Linked DNA regions of Saccharomyces cerevisiae S288C. Changing the gene in region 1 together with any one later gene gives a genetic interaction. Each region holds a gene or a part of one and is shown on either strand. Other genes may lie near its edges. The genes, in order: SMM1 and TRM82.

What was found.
Region 2: mutations in SMM1 (region 1) and TRM82 impair growth when combined (synthetic growth defect), as found in Saccharomyces cerevisiae (one study listed by BioGRID).

Annotation. Positions count from the first base shown.
Region 1 is NC_001146.8:651,706-655,584, reverse strand, and holds SMM1 (tRNA-dihydrouridine(20) synthase (NAD(+))), read right to left. Parts: upstream 2,199-3,879; coding exon 1,044-2,198; downstream 1-1,043. Other genes in the region: acetyl-CoA carboxylase ACC1, read left to right, coding at 1-912; YNR014W (uncharacterized protein), read right to left, coding at 2,482-3,120; PHO91 (Pho91p), read left to right, coding at 3,873-3,879. UniProt on the Saccharomyces cerevisiae protein: Catalyzes the NADPH-dependent synthesis of dihydrouridine, a modified base found in the D-loop of most tRNAs. Specifically modifies U20 in cytoplasmic tRNAs. Also able to mediate dihydrouridylation of some mRNAs, thereby affecting their translation.
Region 2 is NC_001136.10:783,051-786,705, forward strand, and holds TRM82 (Trm82p), read left to right. Parts: upstream 1-1,820; coding exon 1,821-3,155; downstream 3,156-3,655. Other genes in the region: SEC1 (Sec1p), read right to left, coding at 1-1,165; exocyst subunit SEC5, read right to left, coding at 3,256-3,655. UniProt on the Saccharomyces cerevisiae protein: Required for the formation of N(7)-methylguanine at position 46 (m7G46) in tRNA, a modification required to maintain stability of tRNAs; its absence resulting in tRNA decay.

The DNA.
Region 1 (3,879 bases):
AAGACTGCTCAAGCTATCAATGACTTTAACAACGGTGAACAATTGCCAATGATGATTTTGGCCAACTGGAGAGGTTTCTCTGGTGGTCAACGTGATATGTTCAACGAAGTCTTGAAGTATGGTTCGTTTATTGTTGACGCATTGGTGGATTACAAACAACCAATTATTATCTATATCCCACCTACCGGTGAACTAAGAGGTGGTTCATGGGTTGTTGTCGATCCAACTATCAACGCTGACCAAATGGAAATGTATGCCGACGTCAACGCTAGAGCTGGTGTTTTGGAACCACAAGGTATGGTTGGTATCAAGTTCCGTAGAGAAAAATTGCTGGACACCATGAACAGATTGGATGACAAGTACAGAGAATTGAGATCTCAATTATCCAACAAGAGTTTGGCTCCAGAAGTACATCAGCAAATATCCAAGCAATTAGCTGATCGTGAGAGAGAACTATTGCCAATTTACGGACAAATCAGTCTTCAATTTGCTGATTTGCACGATAGGTCTTCACGTATGGTGGCCAAGGGTGTTATTTCTAAGGAACTGGAATGGACCGAGGCACGTCGTTTCTTCTTCTGGAGATTGAGAAGAAGATTGAACGAAGAATATTTGATTAAAAGGTTGAGCCATCAGGTAGGCGAAGCATCAAGATTAGAAAAGATCGCAAGAATTAGATCGTGGTACCCTGCTTCAGTGGACCATGAAGATGATAGGCAAGTCGCAACATGGATTGAAGAAAACTACAAAACTTTGGACGATAAACTAAAGGGTTTGAAATTAGAGTCATTCGCTCAAGACTTAGCTAAAAAGATCAGAAGCGACCATGACAATGCTATTGATGGATTATCTGAAGTTATCAAGATGTTATCTACCGATGATAAAGAAAAATTGTTGAAGACTTTGAAATAAACCTTGTAAAGTAAAAAAAAAAAATAGTATTGATGTAATTTAATTTAGTTGCTAATATAAATTAGAAAATACATACATATATATATTATGCGCGTTTTCTTTCATAATCCGTTCTTTTTACTTAGAATATATTATATATCTGTGGGAAGGGGTACAACCTTTTGCTTTTTAGTGTCACTGCCTATGTGATCGGTCTGTTTCCTCTTTTGCTTGGCGATGGCGTTGGCGTTTTTCAAAGCTTTTTCTTGAGCTCTGCAGTTTTCCAAGTACTCTGAAGGATCTGTTTGAGCGCTTCCATCATCGTTCAATTGCTTTAGTACGAAACTAACTTCTTCCGGGCTCTTGCAACGGGCAAAGTACTGAAAAAAGACTGATTTTCCGGGGACAATTCTGCTTAACATGTATTTTGTATTGCCGATGTGGTTGTCAAACTTCGTTGCCCACTGAATAAACTCGCGACAAGCAACGACCCAAGATGGACCGTCTTCTGAAGGCTTAGAAGTGTGATCAAAAACTGTAGGGTCCCGTTCAGCACACTCTGCAATCATACCACCAATGTTAGTGTTTTTCCAATGATTCGCTTGTAAATCATGAAAATGAGAGCGGTCGCGGATAGCGCCGTTCACAATCAACGACACGTTATTTGCCTGGCATATCTCGTAGATCTCCGCAATGTAATCTGTGATGGGCTGCTCTCTGTTTCTCATTTCAGTCTTCCTGCAGTGAACTGTAAGATTTGTGATGCCCGTGGCACACAGACGTTTGACGAGCTGTAGAGTGTCTTGCTTGGTGTCCAAGAGTCTTATTTTCACACTGATGGGTTTGCTGTGAGGGTTACCCACGTTCTTAACCAGTTCTTTCAAGATGAGACACAGTGTGTCTGGGGTGCGCAAGAGGGCAGAGCCCATGCCGGAGTGTATAGAGAAGTGTTTGGGGCAGCCTGCATTGATATCTATCCCGCTGACGTCGTTGATCACTTTCAAAGCAGCCTGGGTGGCCAGAGCCGGGGATGCAGACCCGATCTGGAAAATCAATTTAGAGGATTCTAGTTTTGGATATGTTCTGAAAACGAGCGTCTCCGGCCTCGTTTGAACCTTGGACGGCACGACGTAGTCGACAGTTTGGAGTGCAGTGTTTTCCTTCCTGACGCACTGAATTAGCTTTTTGTCGATGATTTCTGGGGACCAGACGAGATCTGCACCGTGGGCCAGCGCCATCAGTCTCGTGGGCAGTTCGCCGGCTCTTACCATTGGAGCTAGAACCAGTTTTCCAGCATATGTAACCATGATCTCTGTGTGACTGCGCTATTTGGTGTGGCTTGGATGGATGAAATAGCAAAAGTTTTTCAAGACGGTTTTCATTTTTTCTTCGAGCGAAGTGATGAGCAAAGTAGAGGAAATGGAAAGCGGCAAAAAATGCATTGTCGATTTTAGTAATGAATATATAAAACGACGGAAATATATATATACATGGCTGCGTAGACCACGCAGAACTGTATATGTATGTATGTATAGAGGAGGGATGGGAAATGCTGTGTGACGATAGACAGATGGATGGACGAATGGATAACTACGTCTCTAGTCTCTCATACAATGGTTTGTCAAACTTGACGGCGACCGAGTTTCTTCTGTGGTGATGTCTGTTGCAAGGACAAGACGGGTCTGAGTGGTCGTTAGGAGACGCGGATGTTTGCGGCTCCTGTTGGTCACTGATGGGGAACATCATGCTATGCTGGGCGTACGAGACGGACCTTTTCATCTCGGACGACGAGCGATTATCGAAGGAGGGCAGTTGTGGCTCACTGGCCCTTCTTTGAAAGTTTTTGTGATGCGCGCATTGGTGGAAGTCGCTTGCCGGCAATACAGAGTTGCGCCTAGAAGAGGGCAGTAGTGACGGCGAGGTTGGGTCAGAAGTCAAGCACGAGGCTGCGGTGTAGTTACTCTTGAACAATGAGGGCCGCGTAGGGTCTGCTACAACGGGAGCGGAAACATTAAGTACAGTCTCGACGATTTCATTGTCAGTTGATAAAGCAGGCGGTAAGCCGACGGAGCTGCCTCTGGGGGAGCAGGCTTTAGATGTAGCAGAGGAGCAGGAGCTGCTGCTGCTGCTCCTGCTGCTGCTTCTGTCCGCGATCGACTTGTAGTGGAAGGTGATGTGAGCGGAAACAGGGATGTTCACGGCACAAGGCTTGATATCCGTGGACGACATGGAACGTTTATTAGTTATATTTTTCGAGAAAAAATCTGAAACTTGCAGATCATTAGTTTACGCTTCGGATGTACACACACATACCTATATACATATATACATACACATATATATACATTTGTGTGCTCGTATGCGTACTGTTTTGCACTGGGCTGATTCGAGAAAGTCAAAAAGCTTAACTGGCCAGAAAAAGAAATTAAAACGGCACCGAGGGGTCGAAACCTTCCGTTTCTGCGAAGGCCCTTTGTTCTTTTGCTTTTGATCCGAAATGAGGGGCGGCGAGAGGTAAGGGGTAGAGGGGCTGGAACTCTCGCTGATGTTCTGAGCGAGGTGTTCAGGTGGGCCTATCCGCCTTAATCACTCCGGCGTGGGGAAAGAAAGCAGAGAGCGAGCAGAGAGCGAGCAGAGAGTGGGTGATGTCAGAGAACGATAATCCTGATGGGGGGTGGAACTTTATTACCCTACTTGAATTTTTTTATTTTGGTAGGGTAACTTTTATTCCCTTGAAAAAAATACTTCTGGTTACCCGGATCCGTTTTTTTTCGGGGATCCACGTGATGGCTTTTTGATCAGGACTAATTTTAAAACTGAAAAAAAAAAAAAAAAATTGAGTATGTCTTGCATGTATGAAAATTGATAAGTAACTAGGAAAAATGCCGCTCAAAATCTTAGTAAAAATAACTTCTTTTCTTTTTTTACTTAGTCAAATAAAAAGAAAACTGTGAAGGTGACACGGTAACTTGCAGACTGACATGAAGT
Region 2 (3,655 bases), on another chromosome or scaffold:
CCGCTAATTTTCTTTCCGCGTTCTCTCCTAGGCATTCATCTACCAGTGTCTTATGCAAAATCAGCCTTCTTCTTTCTTCATCAAAATCTTTCAGGTGCGCTACGACACTCAGCAGATCGGTAGTATTCTTTACGTTCGATCTATCAACCAGCAGAGGGTTTTTAGCAATCAGTTCCTTGATTCTTCCTTGAATATATTCGTTGGCATCCATAATATGCTGATGTTTCAAATCAATCCAGTCAGGATCATACAAATCTACCAATTTTGAAACCTTTTCCTCTTGCTCACCAGCTTCATTCTCGGCAGAATAATGATATATATCTTTTTGTGTGTCCACATTAGCTACCAGGTCATAAGCCATTGCTTGATAGCTAAAATCATGTAATATTGGCGCAAAAGGGTCCAGTGTTCTATCGGTGATTATTAGAATGGAACGCGGTCTTTCAGTGTTTTGAGGAGGGAAATCTGGATTATTGCGAGCGTATGTATCTATCGCTATTTGGAAAGCGTTTGCAATAGACCTTGTTAAAGAATTTGCGTTGACTACGGCGTTTCCATTGCGGGCATCTTCCTCTTCCACAGGATTAGATACAGAATATCTAACAATCGGATATTCCCCCGTAATAACACACAAACTAACTAGTGAGCCTACAATCTTCCTCACGTTAGTAGGAATCAAAGCCTTACAGTTGTTGTTGAAAAAAACCTGTAATGAGTGTTCCATTTGTAAAGTTTCGAAGAATTGAGATTCTTTGACGAAAAACCCTAGTTCGATCGGCTTAAATGACTCCAAATTTTGAGCAATGTAACGTTTTGATTGAAAAAACTGAAATATAGGGTTTGTTAATCCTGGTAAAAATCTGATGTGACATCTTCTGTACTTAGGTGGTCTTACCATGAAGTCAGCATCGATACAATTGATGTTATATTTCGTTGGTTCCAATATGTAAATTGCCTCGATGGAGGATTGTCCTTTTCTTGTTGGGGAATCAATCAAATCAACAGATGTGACATTATTTAAAAGTTCTTGGGGTGTGAGGAAAAGATAACTCAATATTGTCTCCACAGTTTTATCGATAATAAGAAACTTCAAGTTATTTTTCGTCTCAATCTGATTCAAAACCCCTATCAAATAGTTCCTCTGTAATTCAATTAAATCAGACATCGTTCCGCCAAACCAAGCATGTGCACACTCTTCTACTTTGTCAGTGGATTCTAATTATTTTCAAGGTCTTACAAAGCAATGTCTTACTAGTTTCAATAGGGACTTAAACTGATCGTTTAAGCAAAAGAAAAACACCGTGCTGTGTGACCATCTACCAATAATTGCGAGAACATAAGACGACGCCGCCATTCACCTCTCTATCACTTACACCATGTTATAGGGATAAGTGTGTAGTCGATCGGCTATTCGATGATTTTTAAAGAGTGCCTGTAATAATAGCTGTATCGCAAGTAAGGAATACAAGATTACTGATATTTTGATCCAGGAGGATGGACATGTTAGATAGAAAAACTAAGAGGGCTACTACATCCGGTTTAGTATTCTGTTATTGGGAATGCTTTTCCCAAGACGCAAGCAAGAGGTGACACATAAACATAGTTTTCTTATTGTATCGTTACATATTCTTATTTTACGCTGCTGTCATTAAATATGGCACTTATCTCAGATACATTTCTTTTAATCAGCGAAAAAAATGGCGAGGTGAAAAAAATCGATGAGATGAAAAAATTTTTTACTAGTAAAGGCGTATTGATGATATATTAGCAGCTAAAGTATAGCAAGGTTTGTCAATTTGAAGCAGTCCGCGTGTTTTACAATGAGCGTCATTCATCCTTTGCAGAATTTACTCACCTCTCGTGATGGCTCATTAGTTTTCGCCATCATTAAGAATTGTATCTTAAGCTTCAAATATCAATCGCCAAATCATTGGGAATTTGCTGGAAAATGGTCTGATGATTTCGACAAAATTCAAGAATCGAGAAACACCACTGCTAAGGAGCAACAAGGACAATCCAGCGAAAACGAAAACGAGAACAAAAAATTGAAAAGTAATAAAGGCGATTCCATTAAAAGGACAGCAGCCAAGGTACCATCTCCAGGTCTTGGCGCCCCACCGATATATTCGTACATAAGAAATCTGAGATTAACTTCGGATGAATCAAGACTAATTGCGTGCGCAGATTCTGACAAGTCCCTCCTAGTTTTCGATGTCGACAAAACTTCCAAAAATGTCTTAAAGTTGAGAAAAAGGTTCTGCTTCTCAAAGAGACCGAATGCTATTTCTATAGCCGAAGATGATACTACAGTCATAATAGCTGACAAATTTGGTGATGTATATTCTATTGATATTAATTCTATCCCGGAAGAAAAGTTTACTCAAGAACCTATTCTCGGTCATGTCTCTATGTTGACTGATGTACACTTGATTAAAGACTCTGACGGTCATCAATTCATAATTACAAGTGATAGAGATGAGCATATTAAAATTTCGCATTATCCCCAATGTTTCATTGTGGACAAATGGCTCTTTGGTCATAAGCATTTTGTTTCTTCCATATGCTGTGGCAAAGACTATTTATTATTAAGTGCAGGTGGTGACGATAAAATCTTCGCTTGGGATTGGAAAACTGGTAAGAACTTGTCTACCTTCGATTATAATAGTTTGATTAAACCTTATTTGAATGATCAGCATTTAGCACCACCAAGATTTCAAAATGAAAATAATGATATTATTGAATTTGCAGTTAGTAAAATTATAAAGTCAAAGAACCTACCGTTTGTTGCGTTTTTCGTCGAAGCTACAAAATGCATAATAATTCTGGAAATGTCCGAAAAACAAAAAGGGGATCTTGCACTAAAGCAAATTATAACTTTTCCATATAATGTTATCTCATTATCCGCCCATAATGATGAATTCCAAGTCACCCTAGATAATAAGGAATCATCTGGTGTGCAAAAAAATTTTGCCAAATTCATTGAATATAACTTAAATGAGAATAGTTTTGTCGTGAATAATGAAAAATCAAACGAATTTGACAGTGCCATCATACAATCAGTACAAGGGGATTCTAACTTGGTGACCAAGAAAGAAGAAATTTACCCGTTATACAATGTTTCCTCGTTAAGAAAACATGGAGAACATTACTCGTGAAATAAAAAGGTAGTAAGTACATCTTTATAACTAATATAAAAAAAGATACGTACCGATTTGTGTTAATAATCATTGTTAGTACATCTTTATACCTCTGTTTCTAGCTGAAGGCGGCGAATTGAATAGCAGTTCTTTTTAAATTGGCAGATACAATAGGATTAATCTCATTGATACATTTTTGTAGTCTATTTGTGTCGTTCTGGAAACAGTTTTGTAAGCACGCCCTTAATGTGGCCTCGGTGTCCTTTTCAAGTAAAGGACCCATAACCTTCTGAAAGAATTCCAAATCCACTATAATTTGTAATGAGCCATCATTAGAAAGATTACCAACATAAGGCTTAAATGCCTCAAAGAGGTATCTGGCTATAAAAATCTGCGTTTCAATTAAAATCTTATGGATGAGCTGAGGCCCAATTCTAAAGCACTCACTGTGAACCACGATCAGAATCATTAACGCTTCTATAATATAGTCACCAACCCTGAATGAATTTGATGTATAC